Linked DNA regions of Diceros bicornis minor. The main gene of each other region encodes a partner of the protein of the gene in region 2 in a complex. Links are inferred from orthologs where the notes say so. Each region holds a gene or a part of one and is shown on either strand. Other genes may lie near its edges. The genes, in order: GAR1 and TERT.

Evidence for each region.
Region 1: TERT (region 2) and GAR1 share a complex: the UniProt entries of both Homo sapiens proteins name them as parts of the telomerase holoenzyme complex. The link is inferred for Diceros bicornis minor from reciprocal best matches to the Homo sapiens genes TERT and GAR1.

Annotation. Positions count from the first base shown.
Region 1 is NC_080750.1:5,226,884-5,236,717, reverse strand, and holds the start of GAR1 (H/ACA ribonucleoprotein complex subunit 1), read right to left. Parts: upstream 4,456-9,834; 5' UTR 4,394-4,455; coding exon of another isoform or gene 4,035-4,393; intron 3,950-4,034; exon of another isoform or gene 3,946-3,949; 5' UTR 3,934-3,945; coding exon 3,729-3,933; intron 2,251-3,728; coding exon 2,096-2,250; intron 1,628-2,095; coding exon 1,568-1,627; intron 1-1,567. Other genes in the region: CFI (complement factor I), read left to right, coding at 4,035-4,393, 4,456-4,789. UniProt on the Homo sapiens protein: Required for ribosome biogenesis and telomere maintenance. Part of the H/ACA small nucleolar ribonucleoprotein (H/ACA snoRNP) complex, which catalyzes pseudouridylation of rRNA.
Region 2 is NC_080759.1:61,426,491-61,435,910, reverse strand, and holds the start of TERT (telomerase reverse transcriptase), read right to left. Parts: upstream 4,520-9,420; 5' UTR 4,517-4,519; coding exon 4,298-4,516; intron 4,157-4,297; coding exon 2,764-4,156; intron 1-2,763. UniProt on the Homo sapiens protein: Telomerase is a ribonucleoprotein enzyme essential for the replication of chromosome termini in most eukaryotes. Active in progenitor and cancer cells. Inactive, or very low activity, in normal somatic cells.

The DNA.
Region 1 (9,834 bases), on a different chromosome or scaffold from region 2:
CAGCATTTTGCCACAGTTGAGCACTTCCTCTTGTCAACATTCTGTTCTCCTGACTTTTGTGATGCCTCTTTTATGAAATTCTCCTGGTGTGTCTCCTCCTTTACTAGCGGTTCCTACTCAGCCTCCACTAACAAACACATAAATTTAGGAGGTGCCCCAAAGCTCTTTTCCTCTCATTCCTTTTTCCTGGACCGTATCATACACTGTGTGTACAATGACAACTTCCCAATTCTCTCTCTAGTCCAGACTCTTCCTTCGAGCTCCTATGTGAATATCTCACAAGTGCTTCAAAAAAATTATGTCCAAAACTGAACTCAGTATCTTCCCCCTCATTCCCTTCTCCTCCATTGTGGCCCATTTCAGTAAACGGTGACACCGTCCACAACCAGGTTGAAATCACACATCTGAAAGATGGTGATATTTTTTACTTCAACTTCAATAGCTAATCGATTACCAAGACCTATCAATTCTGGTTCCTACCCCTCATAAATCCATCCACTTTTCACCATTTCCACTGTCACTACCCTAGTCCACAATATTCTCTCTTCCAGGACTGATGCAACGCCTCCAACCCGGCCCCTTCACATACAGCACTGACTCCCTTCCAGGGGTCTTTTATTTTTCCAGTGCTCTTTTTAAGTATAAATTTAACCCGTATTTGCCCTGATATTTAAAAGCAAAACTAAAACTAAAGTCTAAACTCTTTCCCATGACCTGAAGGCCTTAAGTAATTTAGCCCCAGCCTACTTCTCCAGTCTTAGTTCACAACTTTCTCTACTCCTCCTAAATGTTCTATGTCCAAGCTGTAGCTCTGCCTTTTTTGGATCCCTAAGGTGCCTGAGTTTCTCAGAGACTTGCACATACTCTTTTCTCTCTTGTAATGCACTTCCTCCTCCTCTCTGACTAGCGTGGTGGTTCCCAAGTGCTAGCCTAACGATATCAAAATCATCCAGCTTTCCTTTTTAAAACTGAATCCTTGTCCCTACCTATCTAAAACCTACTGGGTCAAATTTCTAGGGGTGGGACCTAGAAATACAACTTCTTAAAAGCTCCCCCAGATAATTCTGATGTGCAACCAGGTTTGGGAATCACTCCTAGTCACCTTTCAGGACTCAGCTTCAAGCTCCTGTCCTCAGAAAGCCAATACACTAAATGTGGTCCCAACAGTAACATTCTCATAGCAACCTTTCGTCTTCACAGCATATATCATGTTATTGAAATATCTGTGAAACCACTTAATATCTGACTTCAATGTAAGTTTTATAATTTAATGTTTTACCTAGAATGTTTGGTCATGCAAGCTTTTCAATAAGAGAGTTCTACATAAACTAAAAAACATACTCTAGCCGTCACAGAATTTGCTACTGTGAGCAAGGAATACTTTCTGAAAGCCTGCACTAAAGGACTTCTAAGGATCAGTAAGTTCAGCGTGTACAGCACAGAACATCTCAGTGTAGAGCACGCCTAGTGACACACTGGGGAGTCTCAAGCGCTCTACGTAGGACTGTCCTGAGGGGGCCACTCACTTATAAAACCGAGGATCCTAGGGATCATAAGCTTGACTCACCTTCTGCAGCTTTTTAAAGGAAGATGCCTTCATGTTTTCTGACAATTTAACTGAAAAATACTATTAATTTTATTAAGGAATAAGCAATTAAGATCAAAGAAGGTAACCTTCTGAATTCACACATAATTTTAAAAACAACGAGATTAGAATACATGGAAATATTTAGGAAAAGTAAGAAATGAGTTTCCAGGAGGAAATGAGTTTTGTTTGTTTCAAAACTTCCAATTCCACCACACCACTCAGTGGCATCGGCACATCCCAAGCAAAGTATCTCAATCCTGTAGCACTTATCCAAATGGCAATTATTTCTAAAACCTTCTAGAAAGGAAGTCACACTTATAGGGCCTATCTTTTCAATATATTTGACAATACATTCTCCTCTCTTGATTCTCCTTTATGGTCCAATCTCAGCAATACTCTGTCCAATTTAATGAAGCAGCAAGTCTGATTTAACCAATACTCAGCAGCAGAAAAAGGAAATAGTAACCTTTCAATGAGATCACGAGGTCTTCCAATTAAAAAGGATACAAAATCTCTAAGTTGTCCAAATATTTCATCCACTTTTCCAATTTGCTCTTTGTTTTCTAAATAAACTGGAGCGTTGAAATAAGGCACCTTATTTTCATCTGTGGTACATTTACAAACTATGTCATCTTCACAGGGATGTAGGAACTCTCCTAATACTGAAACAGGACAAGAAAACGTTAAAATATAAAACAACTTCAAGTGATACTGACCAACCTCTTCTGGAAGCTCTCTTCTTGGCTGCCTGGGATTTCACCCTATCTGTTCTCCTCTGAGGCAGAAAAGCCTTCCTGGGTTGGTAAACCAACTCCACAACATACTAGCTACATGATCTAGGCTAAGGTTCTCATATCTCTGCTTCAGTGTCTTCATCCTCAATATAGGGCTAATAACAGTACCGACATGTTAACATAGTATTGTGAGGATTAGGTGCTTAGAAAAGTGCCTCACACATTGAGATCACTCAACCTATAAGTTATTTATTATAATAATAACTATTATTATTTTATTAAATGCTTCAATCTACTGTCTCTTCTTCCTTCTCCCCAATCCCTAACTGTACATCAGTCTTTGTTGTTCTCCTGTCTTTTTTTCCTCTCCTTTTACAACTTCCCACAACCATCTCTTCACCAATTTTTGGTGAAGTCTGGAATCTCTTTCAGGGAAGTCTGGAATTTCAAAATAACTACTTTTGTTTTTAACTGACTGTCACCACAAACTGAAATACCACATGCCTTCAAAACCAACTCTCCATCCCTATCACCCAAGCTCAAAACCTGGAACCATTTATTCCCAGTATTAGCCAAGTTCTACTGAGTCTGTTTGCACTGAAGTCTCTCTCCCATCTACCCCCTCCTTCTTCTTCTCACTTACACGATGCTCTCAATGCCACATGCATGGACTATTGTGATGGCTTGTGGGCTAGGACCTTTGACTCTAGCCATTGCCCTCTTCAAACGATCTTCCATCCTGGTCCAGCCTATTCCTTATAACAGACTCTGCTCATCCTTTTTCCCCTTTGATGTAGGCTGCTACTGTCAAATCTCTGTCTCAAGAGTCCATCCCACCTCATTGATAATTACCCCCTAACTGCTCTAATTAGGTTTTTTTCTTGACTTCCCGTCTGTAGTTTCCCTTCCAAGCAAATTTTTTTTCCTCACTTCTCTTACTTATGAGTAGTAACTGAAAGCATGGGCTTTGGAGCCAGAAAACTTGGCTTTGTATCTCAAATATATCACTCACTGATCACTCATCACTAACTATAACCCTAGCAAAAAAATTTAATTCTGAACGACAGTTTTCTTATCTGTGAAATGGGGACAACAAGTATAATCACACAACATTACCTATTTAACATCTTCCTTTCAGCCCAAGCTCAAGTTCCACCTCCATGATGCATTCTAAGTGTCCCTGAGCTTTCCTGCTCCCCTTATATGCTACAGCAGGATTATAAGTCAGTTTACAGCATCTCCACAGACTTGCCTCCCCAACCACGCAGCACCCTGCGTAGGACAGCTGCGGGATCGCTCTCAGCACCTGACTCCCGCCAAACTCACTAATAACAAACCCAGCGCATCCGCCCCCTACCCCACTCACCCCCCACCCCCGAGCAGGCTAAGCTTTGAAGCTGACGTACAAACCACATGTTCCGGAGGTCCCTGGTCTTGGCCTTTGTTAAAGCCTCCGCGGCCACCCCCTCGTCCGAATCCTCCTCTGCCGCCGCCGCCTCTGAAACTGCCGCCGCCTCCACCTCGGAAGTGGTTGTTGCTGCCGCCCCCGCGACTGAAGCCGCCGCCTCCACCTCGATTAAAGCCCCCACGACCTCCGCCTCGAAAAGACATGCTCGCTAGAGCCTACCTGGAGAGAACAACGGCGCGCCTTTCGGTCACTGGGGCCTCGGGGGACACCACCTACCTCCCTTGAGCCTCAGCCCGAACCCCGTATGAGGGGACAAGCATCATCATATCAGCCCTGCACGTCGCCCACGGCCAGGCCGCCAGTGAGGACCCCCAAGGGAGAGGCGTGTCACCTCCCCACAGCCCTGCGAGCGCCGCGACCACTCGGCAGACTCGCCGCCCCTGGCTGGTCCCTCCTCCTCCAGCAGGCCGCGCGCTCTTCACGCCCAAGCCGCCCTCCCTCCGTCCCTCCCGCCCGCAGCGGGCTCCGCGCCCAGCATCTACGGTCCCCCTGCTCCCCACGGCCACTCACCGGGGCCACGTGCGCCTCCGGCCCGGGTGCGCACGTCCACCGCCCGGTACTTCCGCCGCCCGCGAGCCTCTTCAGCCACCGTACTGGCACAAGGTGGGCGGGGGGGAAATGACCAGGCACTCGAAAGCGGTTTACAAATAAAAGCCGGTCACCAGCGGAACCGGTGCCGCTGTCACCTTTCCAAAGCAGCCGTCAGCGGCGGAAGAGCCGCAAGAATATCTAACTTCAACCACTAGTTTACGACACTCACGTCGACTTGCCTACCGAGGAACAGAGGAAGTGACGTATAATGGCGGCGTCCTCTGCCTCGCGGCGTTGCAGGAAGTGCCGCGCGCTGTTGCCCTGGTGACGGCCGGCGTCGGGGGTCTACCCGCTCCCGGCGGCCCGGGGGTTTGCGCTGCGGGCTGGCGGGCGTGCCTCCTGCTTCCCAGGTTGCGAGGGGGTGCCCGCGCTCCTTGGGTGGTCGCCCGCTCCCGCGGCTGTGCCGCGGTGGGTCTGGCCGCGTGGGAACGCAGTGGAGGGCTCGTCTGGCTCTGCCGAGTCTCTTGTTTCTGCCGGGTCCTTTGAGTACGCGCGGTTGTGGGCTGAACCGGGCCGTGCTTTTGTCCCGCGGTGTCACTGAAGAAAAAATGCGCGCGCGCGTGTGTGTATGTATACTTTTAAAGAAACTATGTTATCTGATGGAAAGCCAAACCGTATCTTTACCTTTTGTACCAGATAGTTCATGCATTTGTCGAGTAGGTTTCGAGCACCGACGGCGGCGCACCGTCTCCACAAGCCCCCCCCTTCTCTCTTTAAGCCCTTGCTGTCTGTTTCCAGCTCCCGCTAAAGCTTCTCTCCTAGAGAAAGCCAGCGACCTCCTGTTTATTCAGTTCAGTTGGTCTCTTTTACACCCGAATCTTCTGAGACCTTACGTTGATATTGGACACGGTCGACCGCCTCTTCTTTGAAAGAGGGTGGGGAGTGGTACCTATTTCAGAGGGTTATTTTGATTCTGAAAGAACTTTGTAACCTTCTCTATGGAAACATTAGGAGTCACAGTATGTCCTCTACACTAAAGTATAAGCTTCTTGAGAAAGGATCTAACAGTCCTATCTATATATAAGAGGAATGTGATGAATGTATTTTTTGTTCAGATTTGATAAGTGTACATTAAATTATGTACATCATATAGAGGTAGAATTATTCATAACTACTCTGCTCTATTTCGCTTTGTTCCTAAAAAATTTTCGTGTCGTTTAACATTTACGTTCAGTGTTTCTATCTCCATTTGGTATGCCACTATTATCTCCAACTCAGTGTGATGAAACTATTGAACTTTTATGGAACCTTCCAGATTACCTGGTGCCCCTTTGTTTTATGTATAAGGAACCGACGTTCAGAGAAGTGAAGTAACTTCCCCAGCTAGTTAGAGGGACAAACTAGAACCTTGGATTCTCACAGTCCTCGGTCATTTTCAGCTGCCGCCATCCTCTTCCCGAATTTTTCATCATCCCAATTCCCTGTTTGTCCTCATGGTAGCATCATAATCCTGGTGTCTGAATCTTTGGACTCAGACCTTGAGCACTCTCCCTCTTCTCTATCATTGTTATCACCAGCCTTGGTTGCAGTCTCTTTTTTCCAAAGCTATCAATTTCTATTAATTCCTTCTAAGGTAGCTTTGCACTTTGCACTGCCGTTACAGGCCTCCTGGTGTCACTACCACACTTCCTTGTGTTATTCCTACCCCAAATCACCCAATATAATCTACAAGAATTCAAAAGTCCAGAAATAATAACAGTGAGCTACAACATCCTGTCACATTCTGAGCATCTTTGTTGCCTCAGAATAAATGCTTCCAGGCTTAACTTCTTCCTCCCATCTGTACTGCTCGTGGTGACCTACTGGCCGTACTAAAACAGTTTCCTCATACCATAGCCATCCTCAGGACTCCAGATAGCTCCCCGTTTCCTTTAGCAACAAGTCTAAAGCAAAATCTCTCCATCAGTTAGACCTTCTTATTCCCCTCCTGTGCTGTACACAGTCCCTCTGCTCCATCATTGCCTTGCTTCTCTTGCTCTTGGAAAAGGTGCATTTCCCATCCACTAGACCAGCCTTTTTCTCTCTTTTTACCCTGGAGAAACCCTTGAAGTAATTTTCATGTCTCAGAAACTCCTGCATAAAAATTATATACATCCTGGTAGGTTAACATGATCAACAAGTTATAGACATAATGATCCAATAGTAACTGTCAATGCTCTTTTTTTACTTGTAAAATACACATAACGTAAACTCATATTGATCATTTTTAAGTGTATAGTTCAGTGATTCACATTTCTGTGCAACTTAGTGCCCTTTTGAGTAGAGAAGGATATTTTTCTGTGAGTCTGCTTATTTTTTCCCAATTTATTAGCTTACTCCGTAATTTCCATCTCCTCACAAAGGATATGAACTCGGATGCAAATTAAGTGGGAGAGGAAACTTCTGTTTTTTCCTTTAGTAAAAATTGCAAATTGATTTTAATGATTGTTCGTCTCTCTTATAGTCCTATATACGCATAAAAGTGTTATTTTTGAAACTAAAAAATAACAAAATTTAACTGAGAATGACATCTTTGCTTGTGTTTTGCTATGTATATGCTCAGTTCTGAGTTGATCTTGAGACTGGCATACACAGATTTCATTTTCAACTGAAATGAGATGATTTCTGTCTTTGTTCTTAATGCTTGTTAGGCAAGAAAAAGCTTGCTCACATGAGTAAAAAGTTGAAAAGTACAGCAAAATGTTGATTACTTTCCTGTGAATGGCAGGATGTTCTTTCACAGAAATCCATAACTTGTAAAGGGGAAGTCAGTAAATTTCATCTTATGTTTATAATCATCAACTCACAAAGTGCTTCCTCTTCTCTCCAGGTCAGGTGCTCAGGCTGAGGAGAAGGTTCAGAGAAAGACGCCCTCAGTCCGTCATACACCTGTGTTAAAGGGGAGGGAAACACGGTTCAGTTTTGTTCTGCAGTTCCCCCAATGGTTTGGTCTCAACTTGAGACTCAAGACTCCCTCACTCTCAGATGCAAGCACCGGTGGAAACATTTCAAGATTCCTTTTTGCCATAGGGTTTTTCCAAAGATTCAGTTTCCACTTAAAACCAAGAATCTTGTCACTTAAAATAAAAATAGTTTCTCCAGGCCCTTGAAGATACTTGTTCAACTAGTTTGTATGATGAAAAATGTCTGCTAAGTAGGCTAGTTTGTGCAGCCATTCTTGATCTTCAATGCATTTGGCAAAATCTAGCCTACTGTTTTCTTGAAGGTATTCCCACAGTTCACTTTTCAGCTCAAACATTCTGTTAAGAACCAAAATCTGTATTAGTTTCTCTTGCTGTGTGACAAATTACCCAACACTTAGTGGCTTAAAACAATAAACATTATCTTGCATACTCTCTGTGGGTCAGAAATTCAGGAGCAGCTTAGGTTGGTGGGTCTGGCTCAGGGTCTCTTGTGAGGCTGCAGTCAAGATGTTGACTGGGGCTGCAGGCACCTGAAGGCATGACTGGGGAGGGAGGATCACTTTCTGAGGTGGCTCACTCGCGTGCCTCGCAAGCCAATGCTCTCTCTCTGTTGCCAAGAAGACTCAGTTCCTTGCCATGTGGGCCTCTTTACAGAGTGCAGCATTCTCATGACAGGGCAGCTGGCTTCCCGCAGAGCAAATGATCTCCTAAGCCATCAGATTTTATGCATGTGGCTGCAGATTTATGTGGTCTTTGTCCAGATTTTTGCACAGTATTTAAAACATTCTTGAGTGAACTGGCCTTTAATAAGTTTGGCCATTTTTATAGCATCATCTAGAATTTTTTTCATTTCAGCTCCAAAAGTGTGTGACACCAGCACCTCTCTGGGAGGAAAGCAGTGTGTTGTCAGTGCATCAGGGTTTTCTTGTTTATGAAAGTGAACCCTCTCAGGGAGAAATGCTTTTAATCACTGATGAGGCACCATCAGTGCCAATGCCAACACGCTTCCTCCAAGTTGCGCCTTTGTTTCCAATGTGAAGGCAAAATAGTGAATGTATCTTGGCCTTTGCTTGTTTGGGGCAGCATTTTATAGCAGAAAAATTTACTTGAATTTCACCACAATAGACGTATCTTACAAGTGCTGCCATATGACATTTGTTGTTGAAATCTGTTGATCCATCCATGAAGTTATTTTTTGGTTTATTACACAAAAATCTCTTCAGCGTCACGTGACATGTCATTAATTATAGCAATTTATTAAACTTTGACAGTGAAAACTTTTTAGTTTCTTATATTATGTCTTATCCTAGCATTTTAGTCTCTATAAATTTACATACTAGAATTGTGAGGTTCTTACAAACTATGGGTCCTTTTCCTTTTTTAGCAAAAATGTTCTGCTACTTAATAACTTGCCTTATGGACCTTTTTAATAAGGTGATAAACCAATTTTTCACTCTTGGATTCCAAAGACCATTTAAAATTATTTGCTTCTTTACTGTGATTTGTAGTTGTGCCTTATCACTTTTGCTGCAGCCATTCCTGCATTTTTACGTTGTGATTCGTCATTACTAACTTTTGTCAGAATTACCTAGGCCTGGAATTCTCTTCCATCTCCCCTTCATCTTCAAAACTCACCACACTGGACTCTAAGTCATGTTTGTAAAACACTGTTAATAAAGTGTAAAACAAGCAAGCTGAATAAGTAAATCACAAAAGAAAAGTGAAATCTTTGTAATACAATTCACTTCTAACCTGTAAGCTCCATGTTTTGCAATATTTACAACATTACAAAGCAGCAGGGAGGCATCTGAGTCACAGTACTTACAGAGTCTTTCCTAAGAATTCAAGTTTACCCCTTGGTTTTCTATCATCAGGAACGCGTGTTTGCTCTCACCTGGCTCTGGGTAAAGGGAGGCTGGGGGAGGATAGGAGATGGGTCAAGAAGGAGAGGCTGATGCCATCAGTCTATCATCCCTCTCTCCTTACAATTCTGCACTCACCAGTTATCAACAGCCTCCCCCATCTTGCATCAGAAACTGAGAATGGACTCAATCAAAGGAGCACAGTCATTTGGAGCACTGCCATATAGGTGAACGACCTCCAGCACAATTATTAACAGGGCTGCTTAACTACTATTCATCACTGCAATCACTGGCATTGCATGGAGAAGGAAATTCAAAACTTAAAATTTTTTTTCCAGTCTCTTCTAGAACCCCTAGCAACTACCTCTCATAGAACCCCTAATGACATCTGCAGAACCCCAACTGAGAAATCTGCACTAGACTGTAAGCTCCTGAAGAGGGGAACTACATCTTATGTGTTTTGGTGTCCTAAGCACTTAGCACAGTGCCTGTAAAAACAAACTGATGCCCAGTAAGTATTTGTTGAACTGAACTGAGCTATTCTCTATACTTTGAACATCTGCCCATCCATTAAGATTCTGCTTGTCAACAAATGACTATAGAATGATGGACAAAGAGATTACAAAGAGATGTGGGAAAAAGAGAAAGGGTACAAGCACAGCCTAATCTGGGGTCCGAGATCTAAGGA
Region 2 (9,420 bases):
GTGACTAAAAGGAAGCCAGTGCTGCAGCTCTGCCAACAGTGAAAATGGACTTTAATAAAATGCACGCCTAGACATTCACCAGGAAGATAAAAATCCTAAAACATGCAGGCGCCTAATAAAACCCAATGTAAACACCGTGAGAACAAGAAGAAATGGACAAACCCACCCCGAGTGAGACTGCACACCCTCTCGGTGTTCCGGCACCTTAATAAGCTGGATGTGGTGAACACAGCAACCAGCCACAGGCCTCTAAATACACAAGGAACGTAAACAAGTCTCCACAGCTTCAAATAACTGGGATCATACAGACCACTACACAACTGAGCTGGAAATCCATAACAAAAAGATAATTTAAAATACTCATCCATTTGCACAATAAAAAACACACATCTAAATAACTCGTGATCAAAGAAGAAATCACAGAAGCTAGAAAACACTTAAAACCAATTGATATCAAAATGTGCAGTGACACAGCCCAATGTGGGGTGCAGCTAAAGCAGCACTGAGAGGGAAACACATAGCCAAATGCTCACCGGAGAAGTTAGAAGTGGGATGACTGAGTGACCCTGAAGAAAGAGAGGGAAGGATGTCACCCCAGAAAGAACTTCACCCCCAGAGAGAACTTAGCCAAGTTCAAACAAAGATCCATGAGAGGCCCGACAAGGCCCCCTGGACATGGGGGCTCCACTCTGAAGGTCAAGGGGGCCTCAGCAGGAGGGATACACCCTGACCACAGTTTAGGGAGAGTGATCGTGTGGTCAGATGTCAGTTGATGGGACAGGGCCAGTGGAGGCAGAGCGCAGCCTGATCTGCGCCCAGGCTAAGAGAGCAAAGGTTGCCACCAGCCCAATGAGGGGCCCAGGGGAGAGGCAGTGAGCAAGGGGCCAAGGCACCTCCGAGTTGCCATCAGGAATCCTTTTTTCAACATCTCTAGCAACACTTGACAGCAGATGTGGACTCCCCAGAAGTCTGGCCTCCAGCGCTGGGGACCAGAGAGCCGAGGGGAGTCAGTGGGCAGCAAGCAGACAGGACAATGGTCAAGGCTGGCTTGACAGAGGCAAATGAGCCCAGGGGGGCTGATGGAGTGCCTGGCAGGGCAGACGACCTGCACAGAGGAAGGGGCGTCCCAGCAGGAAAGGACGGAAGAGGTGACCAGGAAAGGGGGCTCAGAGGCCAACGCCATACTGTGCATCATTTATTCAGACAGTAGGCAACCGCGGGGCCACAGCCACGGAAAGGGGCACACGCCTGGGCACAGCTCAAGCCAGCGAGGATGCCGGGTGGTCCAGGGGCTGGGTCCCAGCTGCCTGGGAAACAACACCTCCTCGTGCCCACAGGACACAGGGGCACGGCAGACCTCATCTGAAATCGGGGAGCCAAATTACAGAACCCAGACTCTCCTTTCAAAGCAAACTGGAGCCCCAAGGGCACAAACGAGTCATGTGACAACACATTTGAGCATGACGCCTTCCCAGCTCATCCACGCTGTCACATGTGGCAGGGACTGCTGGCCAACAGGCGCCAAGTCACGCAAGATGAGAACACCAGAGAGACCAGCAGTACGACGCCGCGCTTACACTCAGCAATACCGTTCCGTACCCTTAAACATCTGTTAGGAGGGCAGACCTCATGTGTTTTTCCCCCCCACAATTAACAAAAAAACCTTAAAAAACCCAGTTGCTGGAAGGTCACCTCGTCCGCATCACCTGGCCGCAGAGCCTCTTGGGGAGCCAGAAAGGGTGTGCCCCGCACCCCCCAACGGAGGCCATGGCAATCGAGATCTTTGGGGATGGGCGGGGCATATTTAAAGTCCCCACCCCAGGAGACTGTAACGTGCAGCCCATGGGCAGACGTGGCTCTGACGAAGGCTCTGCCATTCTTTCTTCTAGGAGTCCTGGGTGTTGTGGGAGTTTGGGGGGGGGTCAAGCCGAAAACACTGGGGCCCATGCTGGCCGCTGCTGCACCATCAGGGAGAGGAGGGTGGTGGCTGGTCCTGTCCACTCGTGGTGTTGGTGTGCCCACCAGGAAGGCACTGGGAGAGAGGGGGCTGAGTGGTGGCTGGACCAGAGGAACCTCAACATCAAACCGAGAAAATCAAAGCCGGAGGGACACTGCAGCCCCAGCTGCAGCCCCGCCAGCACCCTTGGTGGTGGCCACTTCCCTGAAACAGGAGAGCCCTGCCGCTCCCGTCGCCCTGGTGACCCTTTCCTTCCTAAAGATGGGACTGGGTCCTTGTTCAGGAGACAGTTCTTCTACCCTCCTCTGTCTGCCCTGCCCAGGCACAGCAGACACACATCAAAACTTAAATTCAGATCTGTACGCTGGCTGAGCAGGCGTGGCTGAGCAGGCGTGGCTGAGCAGGTGTGTCCAGGAAACTCAGGAGGCTTATCTCCCAGCTCCCATTTCTATCAGTGGGGCACCATTTCAAGGTGATAAACCCTGATGTCAAAAAAGGGATCCTGAATAACCCGTCGGCCCGCTGAGGAGAACTTCGGACACTTCTGTCTGCTGCCAGAGCCCTACTCCACGTGTGTCCCATCTGCTGTCTGCCAGAACCTGCCTGAGTCCATGAGGGTCTCGTAGGTTTATACGTGGGTCTTACAGTTTTATGAAAACTAGATGGGAGAGGGGATCAGAGGCAGAGAAATCAGATGAGCCACCCGACAGCCACAGGTGGGGTTACCCGCGTAGGGAGGGGCTCTGCTGCGTTCCGGGTGGGGGCCTGATGCTGCAGGGCCGCCGCCTCCTCCCCGGGCTCCTCACCTGGGCTCCGCAGCCAGGCGCAGTCCTGCACTTTCATCTTCCAGGTCAGCTCCTGCGAGGAGAGCTTGGCGTGCTTCCCCAGAGAGACGAACTTCTTCACGTTCCTCAAGAAGCGGCGCTCGTTGTGCCTGGATCCCCAGAGGCCAGCAGGCACCAGCCGGCACAGACAGGCCCGCAGGAACGCGTACACCTGCCAGGGGCTGCTGTGCTGGCGGAGCAGCTGGACAAGGCGCCGCGGGCCTGCGTCCTCCTCCGGGGCCGCCGCTGGCCTCTCCCGGGCGCTGACGCCCACTCCACCGCACCCCTGGTCAGCGGACCCTGCTGGGGTGGCCACGCCCCGCAGCGGACAGTGCGTCCTGAGGAGCGCGCCATAGGGGCACCGCGCATGGTTCCCAAGCAGCTCCCGGAACAGGGGCCTCATCCGCCAGTAACGCGCGGGCAGGCGGCGCGTCCTGCGGGAAGGCCCTGGCCGCCCGGGCTTCGAGCCCAGAAAGATGGTCTCTACGAGTCTCCGGGCCCCTGCCAGGCTGGGCTGCATGCAGCTGGGCAGGAAGGAAGGGAGCAGCCGTTCCTTGCCGCCAGAGCAGTAGAGGAAGTGCTTGGTCTCGACATACACTCGGGGATCGTGTGCGCCCCGGGGCCGCGGTGACCGCCGCGTGGGTGGGGAGCCGGCCTCGCGCTCTCGGTGCAGAGGGGGGACGGGGAGACGGGTCCTCGGCGGTTCGCCCTCCCAAGACGCGGCTTCCACGGCGGTTTCTCTAGGTGTCACCACGTGGGGATCGGTGTCATTTGGCCCACGTGCCCTGCCCAGGTGCGCCCGGGACACCTGCCCGACGGGCCCCTGCTCCGGCTCCCCAGCTAGGCCACGCCTGGGCCTCTTGGCTGGAGGTGGACTTCCCCCAGAGCTGACCCGACGCCGCCTCCCGCTCCGGGCTGGTGGCCCTGGGGGTCCCCTGGCCCCCACGTCGCCGCCGTTCCAGGTCTGGCGCGTGGGTCGGAGGCCCGTCCGGCTCTCGCCCGCGTGTGGCGTGGGCCGGCGGCAGGGAGACGAGGCAGGCCGAGCCGCGGCGGTGGTGCAGAGATCGTAGAGCGGCGGCCCGCACACCTGGTAGGCGCAGCTCGGGGCCACCAGCAGGTAGAGTGAGCAGCGTGCCAGCAGGTGGGTAAGCACGTCGTCGCCCACGCGGCGCAGCAGCAGCCCCCATGCGCCGCTGCTGCGCAGCGTCTCGGTCACCGTGTTGGGCAGGTAGTTGCGCACGTTGGTCGTGAAGGCCACGGGCGGCCCGCCGCGGGCCCCGTCCAGCAGCGCGAAGCCGAAGGCCAGCACGTTCCGCGCACCGCGCTCGCAGAGCCTCTGCACGACCCTGGCCACCAGCTCCTTCAGGCAGGACACCTGCGGGAGGGGGGGCTCTGACTCGCCGGGGACAAAGGTGACCGGGAACCCGGGGCGCACAGCCCGCGTCCTGCCGTGTTCCTCACGGCCCTCCCTCCCCAACTCCTGCACGCCCGACCCAGGTCCCCGGGGACAGCCCACCTGGCGGAAGGACGGGGCGGCGGGGGGCGGCTGCGAGTCCCAGGGCACGCACACCAGGCACTGGGCCACCAGCGCGCGGAAGGCCTCCGGGTCCCCGCGCCGCACGAGCCGCCGGCCCTCGGGCCCCAGGCGCCGCATGAAGGTCGCTAGTGGCAGCACCTCGCGGTAGCGGCCCCGCAGCAGGGCGCGTACGGCCCGGCACCTGGGCGCGCGCGGCATCGCAGGCGAGGGCGGGGGCCGGGGCTCCACGTGCGCAGACACGCGGCTGCAGCGCGAGCTGCATCCACCTGAGCACGGCGCGGCAGAGGGAGGGTCGGGGCGGGGGCGGGTCCGCACGGAGGAAGGGGCGGGGCCCGGCGGGGGCCGCGCGGAGGGGCGGGGCTGGAGGGAGGAAGGGGCCGGGTCGCCCAGCGCCCGGGGGCGGGGTCTGGCCGGGCCCGAGGGGCGGGGTCGCGGGAGGCAGGTGCTCGGCCTTTGCCCTCCCTGCGGCCCGCGGATTCCCGCGTCCAGGTGTCATCGAGGACCCGGCGTGCCCCCACCGCCCAGCTGCACCCTGGCAGCCCCCTCACCCATCCCAGGGTGCAGGGGTCGCAGCAAGGGTCTCACGGCGGAGAGGCTCTGGGGGTTACCCGAGAGAGGGGACCATAACGTGGGTCCCTGAGGGACCTGGTGCGCTCTGCGCCCCCTGGGGAGAGGGTCCTTCTGGGTTGTCACTTTCTCACGTGGGCCGTGACCCTGGCACAGAGGGCTGCTCTGGGGTCCTGCAGAAGGGGTTTGGAAGGAGCAAGACAGCGAACGTGTCATGAGGTGCGTTGGAAAGGAGAAAATGGACACCGCTGCTCCCGCCTGGCGGGGTTGGGGGAAACTGAGGGCAAAGGCGCATCCTCGACGGGCATGAGGTGGTGCTCCCGGAGCTCTTCCCGCCGTGGGCAGTGGTCAGCGGTCAATGGTCAGCGTGCAGTGGGCAGGCCTTGCCACGTGGTCAGTGGGCAGCAGTCAGCTGGCAGTGGTCAGCGGTCAGTGCAGTACTTCCCCTGACGACTTGGTCTCCTTGATCCCGGGCTGTAGTTTCTCTTTCCGGGTTCTTAGGCTTCTGTTGTGGTCCCAACCATACACAAAAACCCCAAATCAGTTCCCTAATAATCAATGATCATGAGGTCATCCACCAAAGGAAGGAGAGAAAATGGAGCCGCAGGCTCCCAATGTGGTGTCACCTGCCCATGGCTGCCTTCATCCCCGAGCCCCCAGAACCACCTGCCCTCCCACACACTGGGAGGAAGAGGAGACTGGACAGGTCAAGGGATCCGCCTACAGCCTTGCAGTGCCCCAGAGAGAGCCAGAAGCCCCCGCCTTGCAGCCAAGGGGTGGAGACCCTCCCCACGAGTCGCCCCTCCCCAGACCCAGGAGGGCAGTTTTGACAATGGCTCGTCACATGAACAGGACAGCTTAGAGGAGTCACCATAATGAGATTCCACCCGAACCCAGACACTGTGGGATGTTCACGTGTGCGTCGCTAAGAAATGGGGAAACTTCTGGGTCTCCAGAGGCCCGTGGCAAACAGTGAACAGGCTGAACAAATGTTAATCTTTCACGAGGTAAGAAACCCAGTCAGGAAATTGTATTCAAGGCTGTGGCATTTAAACAAGCCTCCACTCTCTTCCCTGGACAGACGGCGTCTCATATTTGTCTGCTGGATCAGGGTCTGCCAGGGCTCATGCGACTTGGGATCGGGGCTGTTGTTCTAGACAGAAGTGTGTCTAGTGGGCACGGTCAAGGCCCAAGGCTGCGTTTGAGAACTGCTCATTCTGCCACTGGAGGATTTGGGCTGCTTCCGGGAAATTTGCTCTTTTCCAACAACAGTACGCTGGTTCACCTGGAGAAACCAGCATGGAAAACATAATTAAAAAAAAAAAGAATAGAGGAAACCGAGGCAGAAAACCATGCTAGCGTGATGAACAGTGTGTCAGTATACAGCTCAGATGGAAATCGTCGCCCTCTGGAATGCTCCCTCCAGTGTCCTGTGCACGGTTTCTCTCTGCGAGAAACTGGTCACGGTCTTAAATCACTGTGTCTTCAGACATGAAAAACGTACCAAGAAAAAATGTATGTTGTTGGCTTACGAGAAATACAACAGCGAAATCCCGTTCTAGGACTTCCAGAAGGGGACGTGGGCGTCACACTTCACACCTGCTGCTTCCTGATGCATCATCGGTCACTGAAGGAGTGGGAGGAGCCCCCTGCGTGAGTGAGGGGCTCACTAAGGAACTAGGGGGACCGACATGAAGAGATTTTCAACAGTGTGCCCAGTACCTGGACATTGGGGGTCCCCTGCAGAGACAGTCAGGGAGCCCCCGCTGGACTGCGGGCTGCCCCTTTCTGGTTGCTCCAAGAACCTGTAGAGACACCAACAGGCCACTGGTCCCTGGTCTGCAGATCACAGAGAAACCCACAGAGGCTGAGCCCCGAGCATGGGGAGGAAATAGAATCCGTCACCTCCAGGCTGTGCGGTGACGAGCACAGGGTCACGTCTGAGTAAGTGGTCGGCGTTGGTCCGTGCATGGGCTCAGTGTTCATGGGGCACCACGTGGCTCCTGGGTCACAGTGACTGGACTGAGGGCTCGGGGGCTGGGGTGGCAGGAGAGCCGGCTCTGGAGGGCAGCACGGGGAGGGTAGTGACTGCCATGCACTGCCCCACACCCACCCGATGGCACGCCTGGGGCACCTCGCACACCCCGCCTGGCACCCTCTTGGCAGTGTCCTGGGGGAGCACGTGGCTTGTGTCTCAGACCTGCCGCTGGGGGAGGAGCCAAGACGTGGGACAGCAGAATCGGGATCCAGACAGGTCTCAGCGGCCAGAACAGACCCAGTGCCCCATCACAGGATGCACACGGGCTTCTGTCCTCATGGAAGCTGACCACAAAGGGGGTAGCATAACAAAGACTGGGGTCAACACCGTGCCCTTGCTGACAGAAAGGCAGGTGCAATCCCAAGCCCAGCACTGGGGCAGGAGGACAGGACACTGGGACAGACAGGCAGGCCCCCTGGTGCTGCCCTGACCCTCTCGCTCCCTGGTGGAGCCTTCAACGAGGCATCCTCCAAGCTCTCTGTGACCCTCTGCCTCCATCATCACATCTCCCTCTGTGACCCTGACCCTCCTGCCGCCTCTCACAAGGACCTTCAGATTGATGTAGGGCCATCCGGATGATCCAGGGCCATGCCCCCACCTCAAAATCCTTAACGTACTCCCATCTGCGTAGTCCTGTGCCAGGTGAGGTCACACGGGTGCCAGGACTAGGATGTGCCATCTTTGGGGCATCAGTCTGCCCATGACACAGCGTGGCAGAGACAGTACAGCTGCTGAGAGGGCCCAGTTCTGCCTTGGGCCCCCCAGCACCCCAGTGGTTAACCCCCCGTAACTCACTAACCTGGGCGCGTGGTGAGTGTGTACAGGTCGACGTCATCTTATCTCCTGTGTAGATTTGTGTGACCAGCACCACCACCAAGATGCGGACTGTCCCACCACCTCCAGGATTGCCCCTGCTGCACTCACAGCCCTCCCGGCCTCCCTGACCCCTGGTGACCACCAGCCTGCTCTGGGGTGAAACTGTGTCATTTCAAGAAGGCTGTATAAATGGCATTGTGTCACGTGAGCTTCCAAGATTGGCTTTCTCTCTCCGTGTAGCTGTGGTGTGTCGATGGTCCACCTCCCTCATGTCTCGGAGCAGCCTTCATTCCGAGGTGTGGGTGTGCACGGTTAATTTAACCGTTCGCCTGTTGAGGGACATTTAGTTTTCCCGCCTTTCAAGCTATTACACATAGAGCTGCTATGAACCTTTGTAGACGGGATTTTGTACATAATTACATACATTTTCATTACTCCGGGGTACATGCCCAGGAGTGCAATTGCTGGGTCGTATTGTTTAGTGTTTATGGAAACCACCACACTGTTTTCCAGAGGGGCTGTGCCATTCTGCATTCCCACCAGCCACGTGTGTGAACTCCCATTCCTCTGTCCTTGCCAGCACTGGTGGTGTCACGATTTTTCACTGTAGCCTCTCTGTGGGGTGTAGTGCCTCTCACGTGGTCCTGAGGGGCCCCGACAATGCAGACTGTGGGAGGGGTCCTGGGGGGGGTGGCAGGGCGCTGACTGAGCCAGAGCGCCAGGCCAAGACACCAGGACCTGCGCTTGGGGCTCGAGGCTGGTTCTGGCTCAGAGGATGTTGGCCTAGGAGAAAGACAACCTAAGAAGCACTGTTGTTGCAACCAGGCGTGGGGTGAGAGGCGAGAGAAAGCCATGAGGCAGGTTTATGGACCTGGGTGTAGGAAGTGTTTTCTGGAGAAGCAGAGAGGGGCAGAGGGGCCTGACCTCCGTGTGGGCCCGAGGGAGAGCCAAGGGGTTCATTGGGAGGCGGATGGAGCAGACGACACGGAGCCCCGTCCCTGGTAGCATGGACCCCCACGTAGGGGGGGCTGCCCTACGGAACCTCGGAGTCTGTCCTCTGTCTCCCAGGTTCCCTGAATCTAGGGAACCCAATGCTCCGCTGCTGTTATGACCCCATCCTGGGGGCTCAGAGCACCCCCGTTTTATTTTCTCCCCAGGTTCTTCACTCAGGAGTCCGGGCAGGTCCCGGGAGCACAGTGAAGCAGAGATTGTTTCTGCCTCTGCTTTGCGTGGTTTGTCTTACCTGCAGGGGTTCCTGGAACACTCCTTTAAGTCTTAGTGGAAGAGATAAATAACTAGGAATAATGGCCTTCGCTTGTATAGAGCTTTACGACTCACGGAGATTTCGTGCCCACGAGCTCCTTGTCTCTGAGCAGCCCCGGGAAGCAGGTGGACGGTGCCATCGTCCTTTCTCACAGGCTCGGAGCGGGTGGTTCCTGAAAATCCCGATCGTTTGGGGCAGAGCTGGGACTGTGGAGTCCAAGGCCAGTGTACCCCCACACACCCACTGGTTGGGGAGACACAGCACAGCCAGGAGAAAGGCAGCGAGTTGGGGGGGCCTCTGGGGACATGGCTTGCCTGGGCGTCAGAGTCCTGGGTTGACGCCAAGCTCTGCTGCCAGAGCCTCGCTGGGTCTGGCAGTGCCCAGGGAAAACAGCCATGTTTCCCCACTGTCTTGGCA